3 linked regions of the Notamacropus eugenii genome follow. The protein of the gene in region 1 purifies or fractionates together with the protein of each later gene. This does not show direct contact. Links are inferred from orthologs where the notes say so. Each region holds a gene or a part of one and is shown on either strand. Other genes may lie near its edges.

Region 1 (7,212 bases):
TCTTCCTGACTGCAAATCCTGTTCTCTCATGACTATGCTTTGGTGGCTTTCATGAGGAAGAATGAGGGCTACCTTCATCCCCTTGAAGGGCAGCTACCAGTAAGAAGAATTCTAGCGGTTCTGTTTAGCCCCTCACCTCAAAACTCAGAGCTAGGAGCCATGGTGGGGAGGGGGAAAGATGCAGAAGGACAAATTTATCTCAACTCCCCATCAAGACAAAAGATCTAGCCAATGGAGCTACTCCAAGGGACACAGGCAGCTAACCTTTATATAGTACCTACTATGTGCCCCCAACACTGTGCTAAATGTGTAACAAATATTACCTCAGTTGATCTTCACAACAGTCCTGGGAGGTAGGTGCTGTTATTATCCCTGTTTTAGGAAGTTAAGGAAAATGAGGCAGTGGGAGGTTAAGTGATCATGCAACCAGTCAAGAATATGAGGCTGGATTTAAATTTGCATCTTATTGACTCCAGGTCCACTGCTCTATCTATCTACTGTGTCACAAAGCTTCCTCCTTGTAGTGGGCTCCTCCTTACTGGAGGTCTTCAAGAGAAGGCTGGAGCACCAAGGATATATGAGCACCGCGTATGTGCCAAACCCTGAGGTAGGTTCTGGGGATGCCAAACTAAAGTGGAAACACTTGCTGGCTGTAGACGGGAATCTCATTGAGGTGGGTAGGAGTTGGATCAGATATTCTCTGAAATTGCTCCCAACTAAGTCAGTGACTGTTTGATTTTCTTCCATTTGAAAAAGACTGACCATGGCTGCCCTTTCCCAGCAGGTGATGGAAGGGCACTTATTCATAATGATAGAAAAGGTCAAATGGTGTCCATTTCTTAGGCACTGAAGGCTCCCTGAAGCCTTTTCCATATTCCCTAGACATATCTTCCAGGTTATGTCTGTCCCTATTTCATCTGTCCCTACTCCTTCCAGCTCTGAGAGACAGTTTGGGACAGCCCATGACCACCATTCCTGAAATAATCCTTAAAGGACTAGGATGAGCCCCAAGTCTTCCAAACTCTCCATAATCTGCCAGATCCATTAGATGGCCATGCTTGAGCTAACCACTGTGAGCATCCAGTCTGGCCCCTTCATTTAAGAGGGGGGACCCAGGGAGGAGAAAGGATTTATCCAGAGCCATAGAGCTTACTACTTACTGCCTAGAGCTGGGCCAAGACATACTGACTTCTTTTCTGGTGCCATCTCCACCAGGGGATTCTGTCCTTATTCTGGGCCCTGCTCTGCAAGTCACGCCAAGATGTACTTGAGTGACATTCCCCTGAACTGTCCTGACTCTCAGCCCAGAATTCTAGCTCAAAAAAATTTTAAATAATTCCATGGGGTAAAAAAAAGGCAAGAGGGAATTGCTAAGCTGCTCCAGCCTCTTAGAGGGAGGAGAAGATGGACATAGCTCTGGAGCTAAATCTAAGCCACCGTATAATTTGCAGAAGGTCCAAACTTGACCTTTTACCATTCCAACACTCAAATGGTGCAGTTCAAATGAGGGTACCTATCTTGCCACCCCAAGATCATTTCCCTCCCAAAATGAAGCTGAAGCACAGGGAGCCTGAGGAAAGATAGGACTCAGCAGAACAGGAGGAGTATCTCATCCATTGCTCATGGGCTAATATTTGTCCTTGTATGTTTTCTGCTTTTCTATCTTTATTCAAGAGAAGGAAAAATTTGGGCTAGATTATAGGGTCATTATATGGTTTAGCTGAGTAAATGACCAGAACCAAAGAGGGATCATTAAGGATTCCAAGTCAGCCTGCACAGAATTCCCAGAGTTTGATACTTGCTCCTATGCTGCTGAATATTTTTACCAATGACTCAGATAAAGGCACAGATAGCAAGCCTATTAAATTTGCATGTCATGATAAATTTCCTTGGTGGCAAGTAATAGGTAATTGTTGGATGACAGCATCAGCTCAAACAATTATGATGGATGCTAGAACATCTGGTCCAGTTCTAATAAGGTCAAATCTAGTAGAAATCAATGTAAATCTTACACTTGGGTTCAAAAAGTTGGTTTCATAGGTACGGGGTGAGGTAAGTATGGTTAGATAGCAGTTTATCTGAAAAAGACCCAGTTGTTCTAATCTTGAAGGCTCACAATGTCTCTGAAATTCAATATGGTAGCCAAAGGATAAATGAGATTTTAGGCTTCCTTTAGAGAGGCCAAGTGTTCCAAACTAGGGGGATCAAAGTTCCACTGTATGGTGCTCTGGTCAAAGCATAGTTAGACTCTTGTGTTAATTCATTATGTCATATTTTAGAAAGGTCATTGACAAACTGGACTGTCCAAAAAAGGACCACTAGGATTGCCAAGGACCTCAGGATCTTGTCAAATGAGCAACTACAAAGAAAGTATTGTCCTGGAGTATTTGAAAGTGTCTGTGAAAACAAGACTAGACTTATTCCATATGTCTCTTTGAAACAAAACCAAAAGCTCAAAGTAAGAGAAAATTTCCCAATGATTAGAGCCATCCCAAAGTGGGATGGGCTGCCAAGAGATCTCCAGGCAATGGCTGGATGACCATGTGATCAGGGCTGTGGGAGAAGAGATGCTCAGTCAGACATATTTGGGACTAGATGGCCTTTGAGGTCCCTTCCAACTCTGAGCCTCTGTCATTTGGTGACAGTTGGAATGGGGTAATCCAGGGAGAAGGGCTGAATCTTGCCCAGAGAGCCAAAAGAGAAGAATCACAGCCAAACATTTGTACAATGATTGACCTGCCTGTTCAACCTTTCTACCACATCCTCTTCCAGCAAATCTCTAATACTCTAAATTGCCCAACAGAAGACAATCTGTATTGGTAGAGGGAATTTCCTCACTGGGAGCACTCTTTAGTCAATTAACTCATAGGTCTGGATCCACAGTGCTATATAGAGGGCAGGGATTGTTCTGTGCTTCCAGAGGGTTTGTAGAACACTTCTGGGCAGACAATAAGCCCTAAAGCTTGAAAACAGAAGATTAGAACCAATGATGACCTCTCCAAGGATCCCAAGTCCTAGGATTTTCTGAAGCCTGGATCCAAAGGGTGAATCTGCACATACTTAAAGAATTTGCGGAGTACCTGGGATGGGAAACAAGAGATGCTACAGGGTGGCTCAGGGGAGGTGGATAGCTGGCTGACTACACTGTAGGGCTGGGACTGGGAAGTCAGCACTATTCATTTAAGAGGGGCTTAGTTTGGAACATCACTTCTGCGGACTCTGGACCCGAGAAGAATCTCAACTGCCTGCTGCCCTCTCGTGGCTGGTGTGGGGAGGACAGAAGCATCTTTTCAAAAAGAATCACAACGCTTCGAGATTTGCAAAGTGCTTTACACAAATTAGCTCATTTGACCCCCACAATTGTGTGAGGTGAGCGTTGTTTTTGTCCCCATTAGGCAAAATGGCTGAAGAAAGGGGGAAGGGGGAGGCGTAGAGGTTTGGGACGCTGAAAGTAAAAGATGGAATTAGGAGAAAGGAAGGGGAGAAGTAGGGGTGAGAGGGGAATAGAGAAAAAAAGACAAGAAGGAGGAAAGGAAGAGGAAGACGCTGAAGGGGGAAGAGAAAAGGAAGAAAGGGGGAGGAATGGGGGAAGAAAAGAGAGAAAAAGGAGAGAATTAAAGAGGGGAGAGATGCAGAGACGAGGACAGACAACCAGAGTCCTGGAGAAGATGGGGAAGAGGGAGGGGAAGGGGAAGGAGGACCGAGAGGAGGGAGAGAGACGTTAAGGAAAAATCCAGGAGAGGGAGGGAGGAGAGAAAAGAGAAGGGAAGGGCGAGACAGAACAGGGAGGAGAAGGAGAGAGAGGAGAGCCGGGGAGAGAGGAAAGGAAGGAAGCAGAGGGAGGGGAAGGGGAAGAGGAAGCGGGAGAGCAAAGGAAGAGAGAAGGAAGGGGACAGGAGACGAGCTGGAGAATGAGGCTGCGGCAGAAGACTGAGCCCAAGCTGCGGCTGCCGGCTGCCCACTCCTGAACCCACTGGAAAGTCAGACCCGCCCCTCCTCCCTCTCCCTCTCCTTCTCCCTCTCTCTCTTCCCCAACCTCCGGGTCCCTTCTTTCCAAAAGGAGTTTCTAGCTCCCGCCCTCCCAGAGCCCTCCTCCTGCCGGCCCCTCCTCCAGTCCCCCAGCCCCCCTTGGCGCTTTCTCTCCTCCGCCAAAGTGCCAGCAGAGCCTGAGCTGAGAGCAGTGGGGAGCCGAGCGGTGGCAGCCGCCTGGACCGCAGTCCCAGCCGCTCCGCGTCCCCAGCCGCACCGAACCGCACCAGACAGCCCCGGACCGCGGCTGCATCCCAGCCTCTTGCTCGCTCTGGCCGGCTTGGCTCAGCCGTGCTTGGAGATCCATTCGCTCCCCCTTGGGTCTTGTTGCTTTCACCTTGGAACTGCGCTTAGGGGAGCCCCCCAGCCGCCTCCTGTCCCTGGGCTGCCCCTCCCAGCCTGCTCCGAGGCCCCGCACTGCCCGTGGGAACTTGTCAGGAGCAGCCCGTCGGGGCTGAGGGGGGAGTGGGAGGCGGGGCACCCCGGGAAGCAGGAGGAGGAGAAGGCGGCGGAGGAGGAGGGCAGCCGCTGCAGCGGGAGGGCCATGCCCGGCTCCCCGCACCCCGCCAGCGCCGCGTTCCCTCGGGTCCAATCCCCGACGGCCGCCCTCTAGGATGCCATTCCCGGACCTGCTCCAAGTCGGCTTCGACGGGCACGGCTCCGACAACGGGCCGGGGGGCAGTGGAGCCGGCGGAGGGGGCGGCGGGGGCAGCGGCAGTGGCGGGGGCTCGGACAGCTCTGGAGTGGTAGTCGCCGGAGTCCCCGCCGCAGCTGGGAGCGCTGCCGTCGTCGGTGCGGGAGGCGGCGAGAGCAACCGCACCTTCCCGGGCGGCCCGGGGGTCGCGTGCCCGGCGGGCAACCCTGGCGGCGGGGGCGAGGTGAACGACACAGCGGCCGTGGGGGGCGTGGTGGTGAGCGCCCAGGCGCTGGGCGTCGGGGTCTTCTTGGCCGCCTTCATCCTCGCGGCCATCGCTGGCAACCTGCTGGTCATCCTATCGGTAGCATGCAACCGCCACCTGCAGACGGTCACCAACTACTTCATCGTCAACCTGGCGGTGGCAGACCTGCTCCTGAGCGCCACGGTGCTGCCCTTCTCGGCCACCATGGAGGTGCTGGGCTTCTGGGCCTTCGGCCGGGCCTTCTGCGACGTGTGGGCCGCCGTGGACGTGCTCTGCTGCACGGCCTCCATCCTCAGCCTCTGCACCATCTCTGTGGACCGCTACGTCGGGGTGAGACACTCGCTCAAGTACCCGGCCATCATGACTGAGCGCAAGGCGGCCGCCATCCTGGGTCTGCTCTGGGCCGTGGCCCTCGTGGTGTCGGTGGGGCCGCTGCTGGGCTGGAAGGAGCCGGTGCCCCCCGACGACCGCTTCTGCGGCATCACGGAGGAGGCGGGCTACGCTGTCTTCTCGTCTGTCTGCTCCTTCTACCTGCCCATGGCTGTCATCCTAGTCATGTACTTCCGCGTGTACGTGGTGGCCCGGAGGACCACCAGGAGCCTGGAGGCCGGGGTCAAGAGGGAACGAAGCAAGTCTGCGGACATCGTCCTTCGCATCCACTGCCGGAGCTCCGGCACCGAGGACGCCCGCGCGGCCAAGGGCCACAACTTCCGAAGCTCGCTGTCCGTCCGCCTGCTCAAGTTTTCCCGGGAGAAGAAGGCCGCCAAGACCCTGGCCATCGTGGTGGGGGTCTTTGTGCTCTGCTGGTTCCCCTTCTTCTTCGTCCTGCCCCTGGGTAAGTGGGGCACTCAGCCCCTTTCCCCATTCCCTTTACTGGCCCTCCGGGCTGCCCTCTTAGCCTTCCCAGATGCCTCAAGGCTTCACTTGGACTGTCTTTGGTTGATGAGCTTGATGTGTGGGTAAAAAGGAAAACAAAACTGATAAGTACAACTGGGAGAAGTAGGGTGGGGATAGGGTAGGGTTGGGGGGAAGTTGTGTATAGTGTGTATTCTCAGTGTGTGTACCTGGGGCACTTGTGGTGGTAAGGGAGGCTGGTGCCAAGGGAGGCTGGAGGCTATCACCCTATCCAGCTTTCTCTTACTGCCTTTTCTAATTAAGCTCATTCATTTGGCTTCCTGAATTATTTTTCCCTGTTCTTGAACCTACTTAGCCTAAGGTTGTGAGAAGGTGGAAATCTTGGTTGTACATGTCCATCTGTGTACCATATGAATGTATAGACACTTCGGTGGGCGTGTGTTGAGAAGCAGAGAGTTCATGGAGATAGGGATTTTTTCGGGATTACCAAGGAAGGGTCACTTGGAATGGCATCAGAGAAAAAGCAATGAACTGGAGAGTCAGGAGACCTGGATCCCAGGACTACCTCTGTGACCTTGGCCATGGCTCTTTCAGCTTCTGACCTGCCTCAGTTTCCTCTCCCTGTAAAACAAGGAGGTTGGGCTGGGTGAGCTCTCAGTCCCCTTCTACCTCTGATATTTTGTCATTCATAGATTTGCTAAAGCCACCTTCTGAAATCCTTCTGAAATCAGCCCGGGAATGCCCAGGTGAGCTTCTTTCTTAAGGGAATAATTCCCCTTCTCCCAGCAGCACCCTTTTACACACACACACACACACACACACACACACACACACACACACACACACACAATGTTTCCTGCAGAGGAGCCAATGTTGCTGCGTATTCCATGCATTCACTCCAGGAGCCTCAATGGGGAGAACTCTCTGTTCAGTACAGTGTGACCTCACTGCAGGTTCCAACATCTCAGAGCTCCAATAGTGACTCGTCCCCTGAGTAACACTCCACAGAACTCCAGATCCCTGCAATGACACAGGCTAGCTTGCCTCCCCTGGAACATGCTGGCTCCCTTGAAAGCTGCCAGCCACGGAGGTTGGCCTGGGGAGCAAGGGATGAGGACATCTGACGATGCCCAGGAGTGTGCATACCTCTACACCTACTGATCATATATGTGCAGGAATGCACATATGTGTGGTGGGTTCATGCAGGTAGACAAGTGCACTGTTGCATAAAGAGACACATATATATGCATGGAGAGACAGCTATGTGCTTGTAGAGAGTTGATGGGACCTTCATTTTAGAATGGAGAAAGAGGTCAGCTAATCCAATCCTCTCATTTTGATCTGATCAAACTCAGGTCCAGAGAAGTTTAATGACTTGTCTGAGGTCCCCCAGGGATGGGCTTGCAGAATGGAAAAGATCTGGATCCAA
Region 2 (7,292 bases), on another chromosome or scaffold:
TGATATTTTCTTGAATTGTGTTTGAAGGTTAGGCTTCCATTAAGAAAAAAGATCACATTTTTCTGCTTAATATGAAATAATCCATAGACGTTTATTAAGTGCCTAAATATTTCTAGAGCATCTACTATGTACCAGAAACTGTGATAAGTCTGGAGGACACAAAAAGAATCAAAAGACAGTGCTTGCCCTCCAGAAGCTCCCAATCTAGTGGCGGAGACAACAAGCCAATACATACAAACAAGCTATATACAGATTAAATAGGAAATCATTAAGAGAAGGGCACTAGAATTAAGAGAGATTGGGAAAGACTTCCTATAGAAGATCAGATTTTAGTTGGGACTTAGAAGAAGCCAGAGAATGTAGTAGATGGAGATAATGAGAAAGAATATTTCAGTGTCACTGGATAGAAGCATACATGGGGAGTAAAGTCTAAGAATACTGGAAAGATAGGAGGGGGCTAAATTATTGTATTGATAATGCATTTTTGCTTATTGTTAATGTAATTTTGCTTCTTAATGGGAAGATCTTTCCCACCCATTAATGGGTCTGCTCATTAAGGGAAGCTTGATTAGGGGAGACCCACACCTTTTGTTAATTTTCTAAGGAGGCACTAGTTCTCAAGCAAGGGTTGTGATGCCCTCTGGCTATGGAAAGTGTACGTATATCTGAGGTGAGGTTTTATGTTGGGGCTTTCTCATTGAAAATGTTTTGTTTGGCCAGAAGAGTCTCTGGGCAGTTGCTAAGGAGCCCCCGGCTTTGAAAATCCACATGTTGGGGCTTCCATGTATGTAATGGTCAGACAGTTATCTGTCTGTTGGTCTATGACATATGTCTTGCTTATGTTAGGCAGCTGGAAGCCCTGTCTGTTGATCTGTATTTTCTTTGAAATTCAGGGTACTGACTTTTTCCCCTGAACTAAGTGAATAACACATGTGCTTGATTAAAGTAGATTGTTGACCCCTCAAGTTGCTTTTCTTTTAGAAAATCAGATCAAAAACCCTGTGATAATAGGCCTCTTGTGTATGTCGGGGTCCTTGCTTTTACAATTACAAAGGGCCTTGAACACCAAATAAAAAATTTTGTGTTTGATCTTGGAGGCTATAGGAAGTCACTGTAGTTTATTGAGTAGGGAAATGATAGGGTTGGATCTGCACTTAAGGAAAATTACTTTGATGGTTGAATGGAGGATGGATTGGAGTAGGGAGAGACTTGGGCAGGCCATTGCAATAGTCTAGGCATGAGATGATAAGGACTTGTACCAAAGTGGTGGTATTGTCAGGAGAGACAGGGATGTATATGATAGGTTAGGCAAAGGTGAAATCAACAGTCATTCACAATGCATTGGATATGGGAGGGGAGTGGGATGAGAAATAATGAGAAGTTGAGGATGACATCTAGGTTGTGAGCCTGAAAGACTAAGATGACATTGCCCTCTACAGTAATAAGAAACGTAGGATTAGGGCAGGGTTTGGGGAGAAGTATACCGAGTTCAGCTATGGGTATATTGAGTTTAAGATGCTTACTGGCTGTTTAGTTTGAGATTGCCTGAAAAGCAATTGAAGATGCAAGATTAAAAGTAAGGAGAGAGGTTAGTGTAGGACAGGTAGATTTGAGAATCACCAACATAGAAATGCAAGTTAATTCCATAGGAGCTAATAAAGTGGTTATAGAGGGAGAAAAGGATACAGGACAGAAGCCTTTAGGGTTGAAGGGTAACCTAGAGGAGGATGTAATAAAGGAGACTGAAGAGTGCTCAGAGAGGAGGGAGAAGAACTAGGAGAGAGTGGTGTTCCAAAAACCTAAAAAAAAAAAAAAAAAAAAGAGAATATTGAGAAGGAGATGGTGACCAACAGTTTCAAAGACTAAAGAGAGGTTGATAAGAGTGAAGATTAAGAAAAAAATCATTGGATTTGGCAATTAAGAAATCACTGGTAATTTTGGAGAGAGCAACTTGGGTGGAATGTAAGATCAGAAGCCAGATGTAAGGGGTTAAATGAGAGGAGACAAAGTAGAGGCAGTTGTTAAGATGGCCTTTTTTAAAAATTTTAACCACAAAGGGCAGAAGAGATGTAGGATGATAGACCGTAGGATCCAAGTGAAGGGTTTTTGAGGATAGAGGGAGGGGCATTGGGCCTGTGTGGAGGCAAGAGAGGGAGGAAGAACTGAAAGTAAGTGAAAGGGTAGGGATGGCAGGGGGGGCAATCAGATAGAGGAGTTAGTATTATAGTAAAGAGTAAGGCTACTTCATCATGTGAGACAAGGGTGGAAAAGATAGTGGCCCAACACGTATAAGTAATATGAAATTAGGAAGGGAGGAAAAGAGGGATATTATAGCTGCAATTTTTTGTATGAAATATAACATAACAGAGAGTGAGAGGAATAGAAGCTATGGGAAATTTGAGAAAGGATAAAAAATTTGTGAGAGCTGCCATGGAGAGTGGGATAGTGAGTTGATACAGGAGGTATGGTAGGATTGCCTAGCAGCAGTGAAGGCCCAGTTGAGGTTGTGTAATATAACAAATATATAGTGGACCCCATCAGGACAGTTGTATGGTTTTCCTCCCTCTTTGTTCAGCAGCACATGCGTAGGACCAAAGGCAAAGGATGGTGGCAGTGATCTAAGGCTTACGTTTGACAGGAAACAATCTGAATAATAGTAAGAGAACTAAAGATTCAAGAGAGGAAGGCAAGGTAATGTTGAATTGGTTCACCAATGTGTCAAGATGGGGGAAAGAGGAAAAAATGGCTAACATTATTATTGATTATTAATAATGATAACAATGATTATTAATGACAGCTAGCATTTCTATAGCAGCTACTACATGCTGGACACTTTGCTAAACACTTTACAAATATTATCTCATTTCATCCTCATAGCATCCCTTTGAGGCAGGTGCTGTTATTATCCCCATTATGCAGCTGAGGAAACTAAGGCAGAGATTGTGACTTGCCCAGGTTAACATAGCTAGCAAGTATCTGAGGCTGAATTTTAACTCTATTTTTCTTGACTTCAGGTCCCATCCTCTATCCACAGTACCCCTTAGCTGCCTACTCTTAACAAGTAGTTGTTCTGTCTATACTCAAAGAGCTAGGTTATTTGGAAAGTCGTCATATCCGTATACAGCCCGTTCTACATCAGTATAGTTCTAATTGTTATGAAGGTTTTCCAATGGATCTCTGATCTCATCCCTGCAGTGGCTACTCCCCCAACAGTACAAATTGCAATCCACCCATGCATGTCTATTCTGTGTAATTCTTTTCCACGTTGTCCCATAAGGCTCCACCTGATGTGTTGGCAGCTTCCCTTTAGTTCACTTGACATTAAATGTGTAACAAGGGAGTAATGAACTGTCTACGGTTGCTTTTGTCATATATTTTTTCCTTTTGTTGAATGAAAATCCATCTAGCTAGGCAGATATAAATACACACTTGCACAAGCAATATGAAGAGTGTAAGTCAATAAATTATCCTGACATTGCAATAAAGAAACACACTGGGGAAAAACTGTAGGAGTATAGATATGAACCTTTCAGGAAAAGTCCCTTTGATGTGAGTATGATGCCTGCTAAAGTCATCTCATTTTCTCACCTCCCAACCTTACTCCTATTTCCCTTCCTCCAGATCTTCTTCCTTAGGCAGAATAACTCTTTCCCAATCACAGTCCCTGACAGAGTTGGCTCTGGGAGCCGTGAGAAGCTGCACAGGTTTCTTTTGTCCTTCTTATACAAGCTTCATTGGGAAATGCTATGGATAATCTGTGCCTGGGGACTTAATTCAAAGAGTGATTTAAATCCTTGTATCCACAATTCATTTAAGCAAGTTTGTCTCTGACTATATTGTTAACCTTGAACTGTGTGGTTTTCTCCCTTTGATAGGTTCTAAAAGCTCATTTCCTAAATTTCATTTCAATTCTCAAGAAAAATTTTGCCTTTTTTTTTTTTAACAAAATTTTATTTGGGGATTTAAAAAAACCTCATTTGTGGAAATAAAAACCCTCTTGTGCTCCAACATAATATTTTATGTCCTATATTTGTTCCCCTCCCCCCAGAGGAAAAAAGATCACCCAAAAAATATCATAGGAAAAAAATCACCTAATACATTTGTGTTATATATACCTGGGAGATTGCTAGTGAAGAAGAAAGTGCAGGAGCTGTTCTCCATTGCTTTCCACTTGCAGGAATGGCAGTCAGAGAACATTCCTTCGTGGGCAGCCAAGTTTGGAAGTTAGTTTGATTTCTGGCTAGGAGAGGAGGGGAGGATGGGGGAAGGGAGGGCAGAAGACAGGAAGTAGCAGAACGATTTCTCAGCCTGGTCTTTCATTCCCAGCCTTTCAGTAATAGTCATCAATGAAAGCATCCTCTTTCATCCATGCAGGGACAGGTAAAAAGACAGCTGAGTAAATCTGTATTAGATATCAGAACGGAAGCACAGCCAGGACTGGGAGAGAAAGGGAGGGCACATGAAAGCTTGTGATTGGTGAGTTCACCAAAGGCATCTGCCAGTGGGACTTCAATGGAATGTGAAACCAAATCATTTACAAGTTAAAGATAGACACAGTATATACCCAGCTCTGGAGGCAAGGATTAGGTTCATCTAGCTCCCTAACATTTCAGGGAGTTCTGTTTTGATCTCTGTTATAATTAACTCTTTGGACAAATTTTGTCCTCTACTCTATTTTCTCCTTTTTGTATCCATACACATTCTGGATACATTGGAATTCAGGTGGTTTAGGAGGTGATGGTGCATACACTAGGGTAAGTAGAAAGCTTTATTTTCAGGTGCAACTCTTAACTGTGAAAGCTAATTTGGAATTCTTTGAAGAAAAGAAAAATGAAATAATTTGGGCTTTGAGTATCTTGAGGGTAATCATTCCTCTATCCTTCTAGAAACATTTGGATTTCATGTTTTAAGCCATTGAAAGAGAGCTCTATAGTTTTGTTGGTTTTTTTTTTTTTTTGGTACTGTTTGCCAGTCCATTTAAAATTTATCTGCTGTACCCTTTGCTCTCCCCCTTCCCCCCCCCACACACTTACCCACTTCTAACACAATAGGTTTGTTTAATTAAATTATCAGTAGTCTTATACTGTAGGATACTGCAAACAAAGAATATCATCTTTTTAGTGTGTTGCTGGAGAAAGTGTGTTATATGGGTTTGACACTTCAGAAAAACTTTGTAATTCCTCTTGCATTATGTTTCCTAATTTGCATAGAAAAAAAGCTGTTTGAAAAGTGCATAGGGTAACTACAGAAGATAATTTCTTAGCTAATCTTAAAAAGTTGGGGGACAAAAATAGTACCTACCATATCGCAAACACTTAATAGGTATTTTTAAACTAAATTAATGATGGAAATACATAGCTTTCATCAAAAAGGACTTAATTTAAAGAAGTTATTTTCTAATAAGTGTAACTAGTAATATCTGGCATATTCCTTTAACTAATCCCTCAGAAAAAAAAATAAAGCTGGCATTTGCTAAATCATTACAAAGGTTTGATTATATTGCAAAGTGTGTGTTTGGGGGGGAGTAGATTTTTTTTTAAATCCACTAATCTGTATTTTAAGGATTTTTGTGCTTCTTTTAGAAGACAGGATAGAGAAGCAAACTACTTGAAGCAAACTACAATTTCATTTCCTTGCACATTCTGACCATGTATAGATTTTGCTTTTTTCTTTTGTAAAATGACCTCTTGGCTGTGTTCTTACTAGCTGCTTTTCCAAACTTGCCCAGCACTCCTTCTGAATAAATACTGTCCGTAATTGTCACAGGGAACACAGCGTGAATTAGAAAGTCTTTCTATGGGGAAAATAAATCTGCTGACATTGTTGTTATAAAGCCCAGAACTGAAGACAGTTGTTGATTATGGAAGTTTAATCTATGCTCTGCCTTACAGACTAGGCTGTACTAGATTAAATGAGATTAAAATAAGCAATGGGTGCCTTAATCTGGTTACTTTGTATTGTAGATAATTCTGAGTGCATCACCCAAGTTGGCAAAGAAAAATAACACCCACCGTTCAGGCCTCTAAAGGAAAATGGATGTTAGACTAATGATCTGGGGGCAAATTTGCCTTTTGCATTTTTCCAGGGTGGTAAAGGAAATGGCAGTAACTTAGTACTCCTCAAATTCTTCCTAGAGATATGGGAGAAGAATTTTTGAGCTAAGTAACCTATCCACCTAGTGGTGGGTCAGACTCTAACCCTTCCCTGTTAAGCCTCTCAAAAAAGGATCAGATATCAGTTATCTACAAGTTAGTGTGATTTCAAGGAAAAATATGAGAATCCCAAGGGTATTGTGCTTTACATCTTATCTCTAATTATGAAGAGAAAGGCTTTGTTGTCTTTTATAGATATCTAGCCAGCATAGTAGGGAAGGTATTTATGGGCAAACACTGGAGGTTGTGTTTGTGAAGGGAGAGGGCTTTTCTGAAATCCCAGGACCTAGGCAGTAAGCAATAACCAATTCTATCTATGCTAGATCCCTAAGTAAATCATTCAGCCATTCAGCATTGAAATACTTACTATGTGGTAGAGACTGTCCTAAAGAATGCAAAGAAAGACAAAAATCTATGTCCTGTCATCAAGGCTAGTCCTGTGGTATCATGGGAATTTTCCCTACCCACTTTGTAAAATTAATTCAACCCTGGTAATAATTTTGTTTCATATTTGGGGAAAAAACCCATGTATTCTGGCATATGTGGCAAATTACTCAACTCAATCCTTCCTCTTTGGTGTGAAAGATTCAAGTAATATACTCTTTATTCTGCTTGTAAATTCCATCAAGTATTATGAATGAATGGATGAAGCACTTTAGTACTTAGGATGTGAAGAACACTGTTCTAAGTACTTGGAATACAAATAGAAAAGCAAGGACAGCCCCTGCATTCTAGGAGCTCACCTTCTAATGGGGAAGGCAACACTTACCTTCCTCAGACACCCACAGAATTGCCTCTTTTGTGTGACTTCAAGAGTTGGGTCTGGAAACTCTGTGGAGGATCAGAGGTAGACAGTGATATGCTGGTAAATATTTAACAACTGGCTTTCTTGAGGAGGAACCAGGAATGAAAGCATAAAAGATTTTTGAAATTTAATCTCTGTTATAAACATTTTTCCATCACTTTCTTAAATCTAAACAATCACCAAATCAATAAATCAAGCTCTGATTTGTAGCTTTTGGTGATTTCTGAGGTATAAATGTTCACACTAAAAATTTAACAGTTGGCTCTCCAATATGAATTGCTTCTATCACACCCCTGGAAATGGGTTGCAGAGTGGAAGCTACCATATAATTAGTG
Region 3 (7,377 bases), on another chromosome or scaffold:
ATATTCACAGTGATGTATTTTGCTAAATGACCCTAAATCCATCACCTTCCTGTCATGGAGAACATGTTTATTTGATCATCAGTCCTCGGAAATCATGAATGGTGATTGTGTTAATCATCTTTCTTACAGATTTCTTACATAGGAGTTTACAATTTAACACAAATAGTATAGACTCAAAAATAATAAGGGAAAAGACAAATGAGCCAATTCATAATTTAAATGAACAAGTATTTAAGCATGTGTGGAAAGTCAAGGGTATCTACTGCGCATGATGAATTAATAGAGAAGGCAACTTGGGAGTTGCACACCAGAGTAAATTACAACCTTTCTTCCAGGTAAATAGAGAAAGTTTCATGAGGAATAACATTAAGAGAAAACAATTACACCACAAAAATCTAAACACATAGGTGATCGCAGAGCCTCTCCTACAGAGAAAGGAGAACTGGCAGTCATCAGCTGGTACTGTTTCCCTCAGAAAGATATTCTCACCCTGAGGCCAGAAGTGCCAAATTTTCAAGAGAAAAGGGCCTCTGGGATCATCTTGTTCAAGCTTTATCTGAAGAGACTCTCAACTATGCCACATCCAACAAACAGTTAACTAAATTTTTACTAAAGACTTGTAGTCAACAGAATATTTGTTTTTGCAGAAAAATTTGGAGACAGTGGTAACTTTTCCCCTATCATATACAGAATTGGTAGGAGCAAGGGGTAGTATTCATTCCACCCAAATGAAAATGAAGGTAATGTCTTAGTTAACACAGCCATGTATCCTTCTCTTCTGGTATAAAGACTTATACAAGCTGCCAATTCCTAGTTTAATTATAGGACTTCATGGACCAAGATAAATTTTTTAGTTCTTTTTCTGTTCTTTTTTAGTTCTGATATCTAGTTTCCCAGAAACAGTAATAGAAAAATGATACTCCAACATCCTCACTCCATTCTCACCCCCCCAAAAAAAAAAATTTCAGGAGTATGCATCATGGCATTCCCCAGGCAGAAAAAGTCAAGAGTATCCAAGGAGTCTATTACCAATCCAGAAATGGCAGCAACGTCTCCAAGTCTATGGTGACTAATGACATTCCTCCACCAAAAGAAGCAGCTGTATATGGGTGCCAGTCATTGGCAAGGAAGCTAGGATCTGATCTCAGTGGAATTCACAAGGGAAAGTCTGCAACAGCAGCTGAGATGCTACTTAAGCCAGATCCCCCTGTCACTACCAATTCACCAGTGCAACTCTTTATGGGGGAGAAATGGAAGAGGTTTAGTCAGTCAATAAGCACGTATTTATGCACTTGCTATGTGCCAGTGCAAGGGGCTCAATAGTATGTATTTGTGGAAACTCAGTCTCTTCTCTACCCCACCCCTACCGCCGCAAAATTTAATTTAAAACTACATAGACGCATATTCAATGCTACAGGTATGAAGAAAAGGGGCAACAAAGAATTCTAATTTGGATGAGCTTAAACTTCAAAGATTTGCCATCATACCCAAGGGAGGCAAATACAGTCTACCTGGTGGGTTTGGTTAAGCACACCAACCCGAGGACCACTCATGCCACCCACATGATCACCAGATGGCTCTCTGCCCACAGAACTAGATGATTTAATTAAATGATTCCAAGTTCAGCTCTCCAATGCACACTTCCTGGGCTCCAGATACCATCTCTTCTATGAAAGCTTCTGACTCCCTGTCCCCATATCTCACATGCTGCTGATACTATCTTCCATTTCTCAAGTATTTCTACACCACTGTATTTAATCCCTCACTACCTTCAATCCCTATCAATCAATCATTTAACAAGTGTCTATATTTGCAAAGCATTATGTTAGGCTCTTTGGATACAAAGACAAAGATGAAGCAACTTAAGTAACATTCTACCAAAAGAAACAGCATGTACATATATGAATACATACAAAGTAAGGATTAGAAAAGCACACAACCTGTGTACAGAGCAAATCCCCACACATATATACACACTCCCAGGTAAAATGTTCATTCAGTTCCTTAAAGGCAGACTCTATTTTTGCTTTTTTATTCCCCAAACCTAGCATAATTGAAATGACATAGGTGTTAATACTACATAGCTAAGGAGAAAAGTTCTGTATAAAATAGGTGTGTGTTTGTGTCACTTTTACATAAACCATAACTGACATTATTCAAATTCCCATGTAAATATGAAGACTGGAGAGGGTCTTTCAAGAGACCACATGGCCTGAAGGAGGTGGGTTAACAATACATTTTTTGAAATATATGCTAGGAGGACACAGAAATATGAGAGGAAACGTAAGGCTTCTGCTCTGGAAACTTGGGTTCAGAGGTCATTAAGAAGATCCAGAAGTGCAAGAAAAAGAAAAAGGCAAAAAAACCAAGTCTGAGTCATCATGAGGCAGGGTAACTGGGAGTAAAGTAAAGAAGTGGTTTCCCAGTCTTAGATTTGCTGCTCATTCCCTCACTAATTGTTATAACCACGGGCAGGTCTGGGTCTTAGCTTCCTCACCCCCAAAATGAAGAAATTAGAATAGATATTCCCTAAATTATCTTCCAGCCCTAAAATTCGGAGTCTATCCAAAGTATTGGGTTTACTTCTTGATGATAAGTGAGTTTGCCTGAAGGACACACATGTCAAGCTTACAGAATGGACTTATGCTTCAAGTTATATGAATAGACTAGAAGTCTAGACCCCCTTCAAAACCTAAAATTCTATGGGATATCCTCAGAGTTCTATTGGTCCTTTGAGGTCACATAAACACAGTGATGTCTTGCAACCAACAATCAGCTATCAAATTACTGAATTTTCAGTGTATTTAAATCTTGGAAATTGGCAAACACTACAAATTAGGGATTGATTTATTGTTTTGCTAATTATTCAGACTTACAAAAGGGATAGAGAAAATGTTAATGATGAAGATTAAACTAATAAGTGAAAAGCATGTGTATATATGTGTTAAATATATGTGTGTGTATATATATGTTATATATAGTATATATATCTCTAGCAATCTGGTTGCTAAACATTTATTAACACACCCATGAATATATACCATTGCAGGCAATGTAGTGACAGCTGAAGAGCATTAAGTCACCTTCGAAAATACATAACTGATCTCCACCCTACAAGATCTACAAGAATAGTGATATTTTTAAAATATATATATATATATGTATATATATATATTAATACTGCCTGATACTGGAAGAATCCTTTATATTACTTAAGGTTCTTTCACATTTATTATCTCATTTGATCCTTAGAATATCCCCATAGGTGAGTAGAAGAGTTATTACAAATTTTATTTGACAGGGCAGCAATCAGAAGCAAGAAGAGGTGTGACTTATTTCTGATCACCTCCTCCTTCAACCCAACCTGGTATCCCTTCCATTGCACCCCACTCACTGTTTTGTGCATTATTCATTAACATACTTTGGAAATTCTCAATACATCAATAGAGTCATGGGCCATAAATTCATAAAAAGGAGTAAGATGAATGACAAACACACTACTAAAGCCTAAAATACAAATGGCTTACACAGCCTCTCCTTCCACTAAGAAGGATGACTTCCAAGAAACATTCATCATCTGATGCTTCTCTGAGTAGAATTTCCTCTCCCTGGGTTCAGAATGACTGAACTTCAAGAAGTGAAAGAGTTAAGAGAGTTGACCTATAGGAGGCTGTACTATCCAAACTATAGCTGAACAAGACTTCCTCCCCAGCCTCCCCTTACAGCACAGTCAACAAGTGATTATCCAACCTTTGCTTGAAGACCTCTAGAGCTGGAAGGTGGTTTGGCGATCAAGTCTGACCTCTCCAGTTTTTACAGATGAGAAACTGAGGCTCAGAAAGTTAAGGCTTGAATGACTTGCTCAAAGTCATTCAGGTACTGAAAATAATAGAGCTAGGATTCCAATTCAGGTCCCACGAATCCAAGGTCAATGCTCATGTCATTGTACCACACTGCCTTCCTATTGCTACTTTGATTGGATCAAGAAATTAAGGTACAAAATCAGTTTTGCAGAATCCTAAGTCGGAAACAGCATCCCAAATTCTAATGTTAAATTACTTGGACTAAAAGATAGCTCCAAGAAATTAAGAACATTTTTCTAAAAGTAAACTGTATTATGTAACATTTCCTCCCTCCCCCTTCCCCCTCTCTTTCTCTCACAGGAGCACCCAATGTCCAAATGCAAAAGAGGAAATGCATGTTCCTCAACAGCAATGTTTCAGATATCAGGTAGCAACAGCTGTTGAATCCCACCCATCCCTCTTCCCCCCACCCCCCTCCATTCTGGCAGAGACATAGAATCAAACTGCCAATTCAAGGCTTGGCCTCTTAAATGACCTCAGACTCCAGTTTCCCAGCAACAGCACGTTAAGTGCTCTAGGACTGGCTTGTCCCCTCAAACCTCTAAAATCATGACCTTCATTGAAGTTGTCCTTTCTTTTGAGTTATTAATCTGCTCATCCTCTACACCGGAAAGAGTAAAAATATGGGGGAGGAAAAGGAAGTGAATGAGAGTTACTTGGGCTATGGATTTCATGCAGCAAGAACAGCCCACAACAGGTGCAGCATTCAAATGAAATTAAGACTCTCAAAATAAAGTCATTAACATTAAGCATCAGTGCACAAAGAAACAGGGAGCCAGACATCATTAGGCAATGATGCAAGAGCTGGCTGGTATTACTATACTCTTCACCGGCAGAAGTTCCATACAGTTTTCCAAAACATTTAACAAAATGTCACCAGGCTCATACAACTTCTTTTCCATACTCCACCCCCAAAATGGGGGTAAAAAGCTTAAGATAACTGAAATACTGGACACAGTTGATATTTTTTTTGGTAATTTGACATTCCCTAGCCTATTAGATAGATACTGTCTCTACTAATACAGATCATGAATGCTCCACATACTCTCCATCTGTGAAATTCTTGCCCATAATCCCTTCATCAAAGAACTAACCAGAATACTGGAGGCTTTCCTCATCTTCTTTTATCTCATCATGCCCTCCCATGCAGACACCAATATAGCAGTTGGCCAATCACTGTTTTCTTTCATTCTCCCTACGTGGCCAATACCAAGTATCTAGGATTTACAGTACATATTACTGAGGGTGATGGACAAGGGAATTGAAGAAGTGGGGAGAAGAGAGGAGAAGAGAGCTTGTATGAAGGGAATGAGCTTTAGACTTGAGCAATTCAAAATCACTGACCATTTTTCTAAATGCATTGGAGTCTAATTTCCGCACTCCTCAATTCTGAGGGCAGTTCAAGGTTCACCTAGAATATCCATCCAAAATAAAGATGTTTACAGCTCAACCTGTGCCACTGGTCACAATAGGGGCAATATATTGTTTTTTAATCTCCTGTGCTGTCTTTCCCACCCACGGATAGACACTCAGACCAGTCTCTCATTGCTGAAGATGTACAGCACCTGCCTATAATTAATACCTTGTGATCTTTGCATGAGAGCATCTGATAACCTCAGCATCAAAAAGGGATTTTATTAATGTTGCTTAGACTTTGTATGTAGGGAATCCCCTGGGATATTGCTACACATCTACAGTGATAATATAACCCTCTGTTTTATGCCTCATGTCAAGAGATCTTGACTTTAAGTTATCTACATAGTTATATGTGTCAATTATATAATTTTAACAAATGCATTGTTTCCCATCTTGTTCTAATGAGTCAATTTTTTACTAAAAAAATAAAATATATAGCTTATCTGGGCTTGCTAGAGCTATCAAGGGAGCAACTGTAAAAATACAGATTGCTATAAGAATTCATTAATAAATCTTTCATGTTATCACCAAATTATCACCAAAGAGCATTCACAGACCATTCTTATTTTAAAAATAAATTTAGGAAAATGAAAAGGCAGATAGTCTATGGGTTGGTAAATAGTAACAGAATTTTTTCATATTTTTTTTAAATTTATTAAAATAGATGCATTTTTTTTCTAGTCTTTTGGAATAACTACCTCTTCACTATGTAGCACTAGTGGTTCTATTGTTGTCAACACTGAGAACAAATCACTTTATAAACAGTAGCAGATCTGTTCCATTTCATGTCAATTTGTTATTCTCCTTTCAATTCCATCTATATATGGTCATGGAATAATTTGACTTAAATTTGCCATGACTCACTTTCCTCTTTTTGCAGTTTTGTGAAGCAATATTCCTCAAAGTATTCTGTCCTCCTCCTCTTTAATCCTTTTTGTTAATGTTTTAATTTCTTTTTTCTTATAGCAACTTAATTTCGGAATTTATCCTTCCTCTTATATGTAAAACATCCCAGAATATAAAAAAAAAATTTAAAAAGGTTGTCAGAAAAAGCAATTCAGGAAAACCAATCAACACATCAATGCTGTCTAATTGCATATTCAATAGTCCACATATTCAATAGTTCACCATCTCTACAAAAGAAGCTTTCCATCACATTTTTCAAGTAAACGCTGCCATTGGGTGCCATTACCATATCACCTAGCAAGGCCCTTTTAGCCTCCTCACTATGGTAACTGTTTGACATATGCGAAACTTTTCTAAGAATGTATTAGAGATAACGTTCACTTATATTAATTTCCTTTCCCCCTCCATTCCCAAAGGCAGATACTTGTATAAAAACAGAATAGCAAAAAACTAGAAACTATGTGGGCACCTACTATTTGGAAGATGGCAAACAAATAGCTTATGGTTTATATGAACTGGAATATTATTACCACATATATTTACAGTAGATCACTTTCTCATAGCAAAGACTGGAAAGAAGGTATCCATCAACTGGGGAAGACTGAAGAAATTATAATATATGTATACATACATGGCATTATGGCATATAAACATGATAGAATTCTACTGTATTATATGAACTTGTCTGAATTGATTTTAAGCAAAACAAAATCATTTTCTACAATAATAATACAGTAAGGCAGTTTTCTGATGAAGTAATTAAAGCTAAAGCTATTTCTAGCCATATAAAAAATGCTTTGAATCAGTATTAATTAGAGAAATGTAAATTAAAACAACTCAGAAGCACCATGTCACAAATTGTCTATCAGACTGGCTAACATGACAAAGGAGGAAAATGATAAATGCTGGAGATGTGGGAAAATTGGAACTTCATTGCATTGCTGGTGGAGTAGCGAAATGATCCAACTAAAACTAAAAATAAATAAATGTTTGAAAAATAATAGCACTGTAAAAACAAGCAGCTTTAGAAAACTGAAGAACCATGATCAAGGCCATAACCAACAATTACTCCAGATGACTGTTGTAGAACTGTTATCCACTCTTCTGACAGAGAGCTGATAGACTCAAAATGCAAAATGAGACATAGATTTTTAGGTATGACATCTCTGAATATTTGTTTTCATTGACTATG

Evidence for each region.
Region 2: the proteins of ADRA1D (region 1) and DTNA purify together in Homo sapiens (tandem affinity purification; 4 studies listed by BioGRID and IntAct, with this or other methods). This does not show direct contact. The link is inferred for Notamacropus eugenii from reciprocal best matches to the Homo sapiens genes ADRA1D and DTNA.
Region 3: the proteins of ADRA1D (region 1) and utrophin-like purify together in Homo sapiens (tandem affinity purification; 4 studies listed by BioGRID and IntAct, with this or other methods). This does not show direct contact. The link is inferred for Notamacropus eugenii from reciprocal best matches to the Homo sapiens genes ADRA1D and UTRN.

The regions. Positions count from the first base shown.
Region 1 is NC_092872.1:735,296,522-735,303,733, forward strand, and holds the start of ADRA1D (alpha-1D adrenergic receptor), read left to right. Parts: upstream 1-4,137; 5' UTR 4,138-4,643; coding exon 4,644-5,763; intron 5,764-7,212. UniProt on the Homo sapiens protein: This alpha-adrenergic receptor mediates its effect through the influx of extracellular calcium.
Region 2 is NC_092875.1:262,176,811-262,184,102, forward strand, and holds the start of DTNA (dystrobrevin alpha), read left to right. Parts: upstream 1-4,278; 5' UTR 4,279-4,737; coding exon 4,738-4,754; intron 4,755-7,292. UniProt on the Homo sapiens protein: May be involved in the formation and stability of synapses as well as being involved in the clustering of nicotinic acetylcholine receptors.
Region 3 is NC_092873.1:232,659,863-232,667,239, reverse strand, and holds the start of utrophin-like, read right to left. Parts: upstream 3,058-7,377; 5' UTR 1-3,057.